Ovis aries: one gene and its partner. The protein of the gene in region 1 interacts with the protein of each later gene in a pairwise test. Links are inferred from orthologs where the notes say so. Each region holds a gene or a part of one and is shown on either strand. Other genes may lie near its edges.

Region 1 (5,934 bases):
CAACACCACAGTTCAAAAGCATCAATTCTTCGGGGCTCAGCTCTTGTCACAGTCCAACTCTCACATCCATACACGACCACTGGAAAAACCATAGCCTTGATTAGATGGACCTTTGTTGGCAAAGTAATGTCTCTGTTTTTTAATATGTTATCTAGCTTAGTCATAACTTTCCTTCCAAGGAGTAAGCGACTTTTAATTTCATGGCTGCAATCACCATCTTCAGTGATTTCGGAGCCCAAAAACATAAAGTCTGACACTGTTTCCCCTGTTTCCCCATCTATTTCCCATGAAGTGATGGGACCAGATGCCATGATCTTCGTTTTCTGAATGTTGAGCTTTAGGCCAGCTTTTTCACTCTCCTCTTTCACTTTCATCAAGAGGCTCTTTCGTTCTTCACTTTCTGCCATAAGAGTGGTGTCATCTGCATATCTGAGGTTATTGATATTTCTCCTGGCAATCTTGATTCCAGCTTGTGCTTCATCCAGCCCGTCATTTTGCATGATGTACTCTGCATGTAAGTTAAATAAGCAGGGTGACAATATACAGCCTTGACACTCCTTTCCCTGTTTGGAACCAGTCTGTTGTTCCATGTCCAGTTCTAACTGTTGCTTCCTGACCTGCATACAGATTCCTCAGGAGGCAGGTCAGATGGTCTGGTATTGCCATCTCTTTAAGAATTTTCCAGAGTTTGTTGCAGACTACACAGTCAAAGGCTTTGGCATAGTCAATAAACAGAAGTAGATGTTTTTCTGGAACTCTCTTGCTTTTTTGATGATCCAGTGGATGTTGGCAATTTGAATTCTGGTTCCTCTGCCTTTTCTAAATCTAGTTTGAACATCTGGAAGTTCACAGTTCACGTATTGTTGAAGCTTGGCTTGGAGAATTTTGAGCATTATTTTGCTAGCATGTGAGATGAGTACAACTGTGTGGTAGTTTGACCATTCTTTGACATTGCTGTTTTGGGGATTGGCATGAAAACTGACCTTTTCCAGTCCTGTGGCCACTACTGAGTTTTCCAAATTTGCTGGCATATTGAGTGCAACACTTGAGGATTTGAAATAGCTCAGCTGGAATTCCATCACCTCCACTAGCTTTATTCATAGTGATGCTTCCTAAGGCCCACTTGACTTCACATTCCAGGATGTCTGGTTCTAGGTGAGTGATCACACCATCGTGGTTATCTGGGTCGTGAAGACCTTTTTTGCATAGTCCTTCTGTGTATTCTTGCCACCTCTTCTTAATATCTCCTGCTTCTGTTAGGTCCATACCATTTCTGTCCTTTATTGAGCCCATCTTTGCATGAAATGTTCCCTTAGTATCTCTAATTTTCTTGAAGAGACCTCTGGTCTTTCTCATTCTATTGTTTTCCTCTTTTTCTTTGCACTGATCACTGAGGAAGGCTTTCTTATCTCTCCTTTTATTCTTTGGAACTCTGCATCCAAATGGGTATATCTTTCCTTTTCTCCTTTGCCTTTGATCACTTGACAGTGATTAAGACCATCCCCAACCAAAAGAAATGCAAAAAGGCAAAAATGGTTATCTGAGGAGACTTTACAAATAGGTGAGAAAAGAAAAGAAGCTAAAGGCAAAGGAGAAAAATGGTACTTGTCTTGAGTAAACTCAGGAAAGAGATTTACGAGTTGAGGCAGGACACCTGTTTACCAGTCCTCTTAGGGTTTTGCTCCATTCCCTCTTTCCTGGATGGAACTGAGCTGGGGTGGGGATAGTATCCCCTGGGGAGATGCCTTCAGTTCCTGGTCCCTCTTGCCCCAGCCACCACTGTTCTCCTGCTCCTATGGGCCTCATCAGTCTGTTTCTGGTGGGGGATAAGTAGTTGACTGGTGCTGACTGGTGCCCACTTCCTCTATTGCTAATGTCCACTAAGACTGCAGGCTCTTTCTCCCCTACTGTCCTGAGGGTTTGTTCACAAGGCGTCTCTTTTGTTCTGTCCCTCCTCGGTCAGGCTTTGAAACCTTGAGTAGAATGAGTGATGTCTAAATTGACACTGCACCCCCTTGGAGCCCCCAGAATCTCCTCCTCAGTGTTGGCACGTCTCTCCAACAGCACTTACCCTGGACTCTCCGATCCAGACCCAGGAGGGTTTCTGCTGCTCCCCAAGTCACCCTCAACCTGCATGGGCAGGGGGAGGAACCCAGGGCCCACTCAGGATCTGAGCCTTCTGCACCCACACCCGCCTCCATGTCAGCCTTGAAGGGCCGTCCACTGCAGGGAGAGTGAGCCTGGGGTAGGAAGGGACATAGAATGTGTGAATGGCACCAGCTTTCAGATCCTGTTGTTTCTCAGCTGCTTTGAACTCGGATGGGAGAATGTGTCTTTACTGCCTGGCTTCTGCCAGCAGAGCACCTACAGGCCATATTTGGAGGGGCTGAGGGGGCCCAAGGGAGGAGGCCAAAACAGACATGGGTCCATATTTCCTGACACAAACGCTTTATTCATTAGAGCAGCTGATGTTTGTCATATGGGATTCAAGCAGCCTGTCCTGCAGAGGAGGCTCCTGGGGCCCCACAGTCCACCCTGTCAAGGGCTTTCTGAGATGCCTGCCAAGTTCGAATCCTCTCTGGGCAGCAGCTGCGTGTCCAACTTTGGGAGAGGGGAGGTCCTGGCGCCAGCAGAGGGGCTCCTGGAGCTTGGGAGAGAGACAGCAGCTTGTGGAGGGCGGGTGATTGGCCGGTCAGCAGCAGAGCTCCGGGGCTGAGGTGGGGATGCCGCAGGCCAGGCGGGAGCATGCAGGCCGGCAGAGCAGGGACACAGAGGAGGCTGGGCGGCAGCAGCTTGGCTGGCAGGAGGAGGTGGGCACACAGCAGGCGAGGCGGCACGCAGGGCGGCAGAGGAGGGACACAGAGGAGGCCGGGCGGCAGAAGCTGGGCTTGCAAGAGGAGGCGGGCACACAGCAGGTGGGGCCGCACACGGGGCGGCACACAGGACGGCAGAGGAGGGACACGGAAGAGGAGGGTCTGCAGCAGGATGAGGGGGCTGAGCAGGGGGAGGTCTCACAGCACACGGGCCTGCAGCAAACAGGTGTACAGCAGACAGGCCTGCAGCAGACGGGCTCACAGCAGGCCTGCTGGCAGCAGGAGGAGGTGCAGCAGGAGGGCTGGCAGCTGGACTGCTGGCAACATGAGGAGGTTGAGAAGGGGGAGGCCTCACAGCAGACAGGCCTGCAGCAGACAGGTGTGCAGCAGACAGGTGTACAGCAGACAGGCCTGCAGCAGACGGGCCTGCAGCAGACAGGCTCACAGCAGACAGGTTCACAGCAGGCCTGCTGGCAGCGGGAGGAGGTGCAGCAGGAGGACTGGCAGCTGGACTGCTGGCCACATGAGGCTGGGCAGGAGCTGCTGCAGGCTGGCTGGCAGCAGGGGCTGGACTCACAACTCACTGGGGCGCAGAGGAGGGTCAGGCGGGGGGCCGAGGTGCAGCAGCTGGGGGCACAGCAGGGGGGCTCGCAGCAGCTCTCTGGACAGTCATCCACCTGCCAGGAGGAGCCGGTGCAGGAGTCACAGGATCCAGGCAGGCAGATCCGGCTGCTGTAGCTCAGGTCGCTGGAGCAAGCAGACAGGTTAGAGAAGGCCATGGTGGAGGTGGTACGGCTGGAGGAGGTGTAAGTGTGTGTGAGTGTGTGAGTGAAGTGCTGAGGGTGTCTGCTTTTATACCCGCCCTGAGTATGCGCGTGGCCCTGGTCGGAGGCTCCCACGCTCTCCCTTCCTTGTTGCTGTTTGGAGCTGACCCTCATTAGGGCTGCTGTGTTTTCTACAATTAGCTTTTACTCATTAAACATGTGAGTACGTTGCAAGAGTCTGTTTTCCCATCTGTTCTTTGTTTGGCTCCAGAAAACTTGTGGAGGATGCAAGACGCAAGTTTCTGCTGAATGCCTGCCAGGGTTCTTAAGTCACGTTCACGGAGGGAGGGGCTGAGCGTGAGACAAGTTCCCAGCCACTGCAGCCGCTCCCACTTCACGCCAGCCTTGACAGTGTGAGAATACATAGGGAAAGATGCCTAGCTTTACCGCAGCCCAAACTATACCTAAGAGCATTACTAAGAAGATAAGTTGCGAGCGAAATAGAAAACTTGACCAAAGAACACACACAACATATATCCACTGGGACCCGAGAGGTGTAAGCAAGAAACTCAGAGCTATAGACTGAATTACCACTCTTTCTGGATCAATCCATCCCTGATGTAACTTCAATCAGAACCCAAAAGAAATATTTTTGGCATATAAAGTGAAGATATTGAACTGCTAGAAAATATTTGCAATGTAAAAGTTGAAAGCCTTTACAACTAAAGCAGGATATGATACAATAGAATCAAACACAAGCACACAGTCCATTCAAATTTCCAATCAACATTTGAAAAGCTACTGGATATCACTGATAATTAAAAGGCTCTAAATTAAAACACAAATATCCCACCTGCAAGATCAGCCAAGATTTACAACACTGGTAACACCCAGTGCTGCACAGTCTGAGGTCCTCACTCTTCTTTAAAAATTAGTTAACTTTTCGCTGAGCTGGGTCTTTGTTGCTACATGTAGGCTTTCCCTGGTTGTGGCAAACGGGGCTTACTTTTTGTTGCAGTGGGCAGGCTGCTCTTGGCAATGGCTTATCTTATTGAGGAGCACTGGCTTTAGGACATATGGGCTTTGGTAGTTGTGGCACGTGGGCTAGTCCCAGACCAGGGATTAAATTTATGTTCTTTGCATTGGCAAGTGGATTGTTAACCACTGGATCACCAGGGAAGCTCTAGGGGCCTCCCTGTTAGAAATCCTTAACAGGTACGTTTTTTTTTTTATTACATGTAACAAATAATATAAAATTAACCATTTTAAAGTGTTCGATTCAGGGACATTTAGTACAGTCACAACACTGTACAACTATGACCACTATCTAGTCCCGGGACATTCCCAAAAGGAAATCTTGTAGTATTGGGTAGACCCTCCCCAGTCCCTGTCAAGCACCGCTCTGCTTTCTGTCTCTATGACTTTGGCTGTTCTGCTCATTTCATGTAAAAGGAATCACACAATAGGTGGCCTTTTGTGTCTGACTCCAACTTGGCATACATGTGGCATACATGTGTGCTTGATCCTTTTTTATGACAGGATAACATTCCTCATAGAAATAGACAACATTTTATTTACCCATAAGTCGATGAACATTTGGGCCATTTATACCTCTTGGTTAAAAAATGCTTGCTCCTTGCAAGGGAAGCTATGACAAAGCTAGTGAAATGAAGTCACTCATTCGTGTCCAACTCTTCGCGACCCCATGGACTGTAGCCCACCAGGCTCCTCCATCCGTGGGATTTTCCTGGGCAGAGTGCTGGAGTGACAAACCTAGACAATATATTAAACAGCAGAGACTTCACTTTGCTCATAAAGGTCTGTATAGTCATGTATGGATATGAGAGTTGGGCCATAAAGAAGGCTGAGTGCCAAAGAATTGATGCTTTTGAAATATGGTGTTGGAGAAGACTCTTGAGAGTCTCTGGGACTGAAAGGAGATCAAACCAGTCAATCCTAAAGGAAATCAACCCTGAATATACATTGGAAGGACTGAAGCTGAAGCTCCAATACTTGGGCCACCTAATATGAAGAGCTAACTCTTTGCAAAAGACCCTGATGCTAGGAAAGATTGAGGGCAGGAGGAGAAGGGGGCTACAGAGGATAAGATGGTTGGATGACATCATTGACTTAATGGACTTGAGTCTGAGCAGGCTCCAGGAGATGGTGATGGACAAGGGAACCCTGGGGTGCTGCAGTCCATGGGGTTGCAAAGAGTCAGACAGGACTGAGTGACTGAGCAACAACAATACAATTTTCTTAGAGTGAACAAGGTGTGATGAATATTTGTGTACAAGCTTTTGTTTGAATATCTCTTTTTATTAATAAGTCTTTGGGTGTATACCTAGAAGTAGATT
Region 2 (4,795 bases), on another chromosome or scaffold:
AAATACTTCTAGTCATTTATTTTCTCTATTTGGTTTTTTTTTTCATCTTTGATTTCCTTTTAGGATTTCAGATGCATGCCAGGTTTCCACTGATTGCCAGAAATCAAGATCACTACACATGGATCCCCAAAATCAGCATGGCAGTGGCAGTTCATTAGTTGTGATCCAGCAGCCTGCATTGGATAACCGTCAGAGGCTAGACTATGAGAGGGAGATTCAGCCTGCTGCTATTTTGTCCTTAGACCAGATCAAGGCCATCAGAGGCAGCAATGAATACACAGAAGGGCCATCTGTGGTGAAAAGACCTGCTCCTCGAACCGCACCAAGACAAGAAAAGCATGAGAGGACTCACGAAATCATACCGATTAATGTGAATAATAACTATGAGCATAGACCTACCAGCCACCTGGGACATGCAGGACTCTCAAATAACGCCAGAGGCCCCATACTGAGCAGGTCAACCAGCACCGGAAGCGCAGCCAGTTCTGGGAGCAACAGCAGTGCCTCTTCTGAGCAGGGGCTGTTAGGAAGGTCCCCGCCAGCCAGACCCATCCCTGGTCACAGGTCTGAAAGGGCAATCCGGACCCAGCCCAAGCAACTGATTGTGGATGACTTAAAGGGCTCCTTGAAAGAGGACCTGACGCAGCACAAGTTCATCTGTGAACAGTGTGGGAAGTGCAAGTGTGGGGAATGCACAGCTCCCAGGACCCTGCCATCCTGCTTGGCCTGTAACCGGCAGTGCCTTTGCTCCGCTGAGAGCATGGTGGAGTACGGAACCTGCATGTGCTTGGTCAAGGGCATCTTCTACCACTGCTCCAATGACGATGAAGGGGATTCCTACTCGGATAATCCTTGCTCCTGTTCACAGTCACAGTGCTGCTCTAGGTACCTGTGTATGGGAGCCATGTCTCTGTTTTTACCTTGCTTACTTTGTTATCCTCCAGCCAAGGGATGCCTGAAGTTGTGCAGGGGGTGTTATGACTGGATCCATCGCCCAGGGTGCAGATGTAAGAACTCCAACACTGTCTATTGTAAGCTGGAGAGCTGCCCCTCCCGGGGACTGGGTAAACCATCATGATTTTTGGAGGTGGGTTGGACCTCCTGAACTTCTCTTGCTTTCAAGCTGTGGCTGTTAAAAAAGATGCTGTCAGATACTGGTTTAATTTTCTTTGCAGTTTTCCCCTGTCCCACCTTTTTCCCCTTCTTTCCAAGGTTTGACTCATGGATTGTACTCTTCTCTAATGGATGATCTTCAGTAAGAGTGGACTGTGAAATGCATCTGGCTCCCCCTTATGACAAGAGCCTCTGCCATCCACTTGAGAGGGTATTGAGAGCCAGTGGGCTTTTGTGTAGCCTTTTTGTTCTGCAAGCAATTTTCCCAAGTTGTACACGTGAACATATCCACACATGTACACCCAGGCTACAGTGATTTAGAGCTGTTTTTGATTGGGTACTCTGGGAACAGGGAAATTGGTGTTTAAAGAAGCAGCCATTTAATTGCTTAAATAAGCTATATATTAAATCTGTCCCCAATTAGGGCTATCTTCATATCATTAGACACTTAAGTAGCATGGGAGATCTGTTTTTGTTACAACGTTAAGATTCTCCTTTAACCACTGCCCTCTCCTTCTTGCTTCTCAACTTTCTATCCCCTCAGTTTTGGCGTTATCATTTTTAGAGATGCCAGGGTTTTCTGTTTTGTTTTGTTTTGTTTTGTTTTTTCCTGTGTAATTTTAGGTCTGCTTTACAATGTAAGTCTTCACATTGGAGATATATTGGTTGTATCTTGCTCATCCTTATTCAAGCTTTCATATTTGTGAAGGACTCGACTCCCTCCCTTCCATACTCCTTGCTTTTCACCAAATTACTCTTGTCATTGACGGCACTTGGATAACTGAAGTTGATATTTATATCTGATCAATCTATAGATGTCACGGAACTATGCTGCCTGAAGTGATCTTGGCTCCTTAATGGTTTTTGGCCACTTGGTTAGTTAACAGCTGGGTAGTTCTAATCTTTTCTGTTTCATTGCCTTAACCACAAATTGTGGTGCTTTTTGTATATTTTATGTATAAATCACAAAGTTGAATTCTGACTATTTTTAAGACAAAAGTCTGTTAAACTTTTTTATTGTAAAGAATATTTATTATGCGAATCTCTATTATTTTATGATATTTATTGCAAAAGACTGTTGAAATGTACTCATGTCTGAATATAACAAAATATCAATACGTAACGGAAAATAAGGTGACACGAAGAAAGTACGTATGTTAACTATAATGCAGAAAATATATTAATTAATGAAACTGTCTCTTGATTTCTTCATTTATTAGTGTGTACTGTTGTGATTTTTGTCATTTGCTTTGACTCTTCATGCATACCCATTTTCTTTCTTTCCCTTAATATACCAAATCTAGATGTAGGTGAGCTCAAATCTTGAACTAGATGTTTCCTGGAAAATTCATTAATCAAGATTTTATATTCCAAATTCTGTTTCAACAAATGCCCAAGTGAATCACTTTACAAAGTGAAAAAAGTTTTTCTGTGATTAATATTAACAATTCCATCCCTCCGTTGGCTATTTTATAAGCAAGGGGTTTTGTGTATATCAATTTCTTGGAATGGGACATACCTGTATGTTTTAAATAATGTTTATCTTAACTCTTGGATTAGTCTGAAATTAATTTTCATCAGCAAAGCTTAAAAAATTAGTTCTGTAGCCATACTAGGAGTCTGTGGCACTGTCATTTTAATAAAACATTATAGAATTTAAGAGTGCATCAAGGGGATAGTTAACATTATCAAAGAGAAGTTTTAAAAACATTCCAATCCTTTTCATTCCTTTAATAAGTCTTTAATGTGCCCTGATCAAATAACATTGTGTCATGTCTCATGGAATTAGAAATGTGAGGGTGTGAAACTTTATATTAAAAAAGTACATGTTTTTAGTTTTTAGCCTGCTGAAGTCAGGACATAGTTAGAATCTTTGGGTCTGATAAAATTTTGTTCACGTGAATCCTCAGACTTGATTTCACTAACTCCTCCGTATGCCTAAGTGACGTGTCAAACCTGAATAATCAGCATTTGAGAATAAGATGTTGGCATAATTTGAATCCAGGATTTAGGCTGTCAAAACTCTTATCCAGCTTTTTTGTTTGGTTGTTGTCTCTTACATGATTTGACTACTAGTTTTGGATTATTTATCCTTTGTATTTATAGACTTTGATTTTGTTTTAATTAAATGAGACATAAATGATAGAAACTTTTAATGCATTTCCACCAAGCCACTAAACCTATTAGTTAGCATTGTGACATTTGGCTTAATCAAGTATTTTCTCTATGCTCTGAAAGCAGGAACATTTTTTAAAATTTCATAATCTATGGTATTTTAAAATGTGAATTTGTTTCCTCTTGTATTCAAGTTATGTGGTGATATCACTGGTCCCTGAATATTGAATATTTCATTGAGATTTGGCTCCTTAATGAAGCATGAATAGACTCCTTCAAAATACTGTGTAACTTTTTTCTGTTATTTAGACCCTTCGTATAATTAGGAATTGGTGTAAGAGCTGTCTGTAGTTAAACTAACCAGACTAAGAAGCTATGGCTTTTATTGAAAGAAATTTATAACTTTTATGAGAATAAGGTATGTTGTGGAGTTTTAACTTCTGACTATCTGGGGAATACATTAAAATTATAATATTAAGATGGCAGTCTGCTGCTTCCAGGGTTCTGTATGCACTCTGGCATAATGTCAAGCTCATATTTGGAAATAGCAATAGGTTAGGAGTTCAGACTTCTAACATGCTTGTCAGATACAAAGAATAAACACTTTGATTCAAAACTTCCTCCTTTGTGATGGTTTAAACCTAGAAGAAACAAATATTAGGATGTGTCTTCATCAGTGCTCATGAGTCCAATGTGTTTGAACTGAATACTGATGATCATTTTAAAGTGCTAAGGCTTTGAAAGCATTAGCACAGCTGACATTTCTTATAATACCCCTGCCATTTATTTGATACTGCCAAGTTAAAAATATCACACAGATAGATTAACCTTTCCCTTTTCCTCAATTTTGTCCCTCTTCCTCAACTGCCAAAGCCTGACAGAGTGAATATTTTTTAAGTAGTTCCTTTCCAGCATGTTTTCTGAGTGTTGTTCTTTTCATTCAAAGAAGTTTTATTTGGATAATTGTGAATAAAACCAGTACAAGATTTCTGTAATTGAGTAGTTTCCTGTCAACAGTTTAATAAAATGTAACTCAGCAGAAGTATGGACTATGAAAAAGTAGATATACTTTTTTGTGAAGGCTTGAGGTGAATCTTTATAATCTGTGATGATTATTATATAGTTTTCAAAACACAAATCGTGGAACATTCCAGTTATTACAAAGAAAAAAAAAAGAAAAACAGTGGTTTTTAAAGTTAAAGGAAATGAGTTAAAAACTAATGTTTTTACCCTAAAGTTAATATTGAAATCAAACTCAAGATTCATTTGCAAAAGATTGATTTAATTTTTGAAATTGTCTCCTTTTCCTGAATCTTCCCTTTTTTTGTTGAGTGATGTATTTCATGGTAGTTTTATGTATAACTCTTTAGCAAAAAGGCACAATCTCATTTCTGAACATTGAAAAATGGAAACAAAGAATGTCTAGACAGTTCTCATCTTAAACTCTGCCCCACCTCCCACTATATATATATATATATATTGCAAGAGAGTTTGGTATCATTTTTTAAATATCTTGAAGACAAAACTTTAAATCCCCCTTTGGCCAGTTGATAATTGGAGAACTGTA

The links.
Region 2: the proteins of keratin-associated protein 10-12-like (region 1) and SPRY1 interact in binary tests that used the Homo sapiens proteins (3 or more experiments, as listed by UniProt). The two-hybrid records come from large-scale screens. The link is inferred for Ovis aries from reciprocal best matches to the Homo sapiens genes KRTAP10-7 and SPRY1.

What each region holds. Positions count from the first base shown.
Region 1 is NC_056054.1:262,543,600-262,549,533, reverse strand, and holds keratin-associated protein 10-12-like, read right to left. Parts: upstream 3,743-5,934; 5' UTR 3,593-3,742; coding exon 2,693-3,592; 3' UTR 1,687-2,692; downstream 1-1,686. UniProt on the Homo sapiens protein: In the hair cortex, hair keratin intermediate filaments are embedded in an interfilamentous matrix, consisting of hair keratin-associated proteins (KRTAP), which are essential for the formation of a rigid and resistant hair shaft through their extensive disulfide bond cross-linking with abundant cysteine residues of hair keratins.
Region 2 is NC_056070.1:34,546,247-34,551,041, reverse strand, and holds the end of SPRY1 (protein sprouty homolog 1), read left to right. Parts: intron 1-63; coding exon 64-1,078; 3' UTR 1,079-3,844; downstream 3,845-4,795. UniProt on the Homo sapiens protein: Inhibits fibroblast growth factor (FGF)-induced retinal lens fiber differentiation, probably by inhibiting FGF-mediated phosphorylation of ERK1/2. Inhibits TGFB-induced epithelial-to-mesenchymal transition in lens epithelial cells.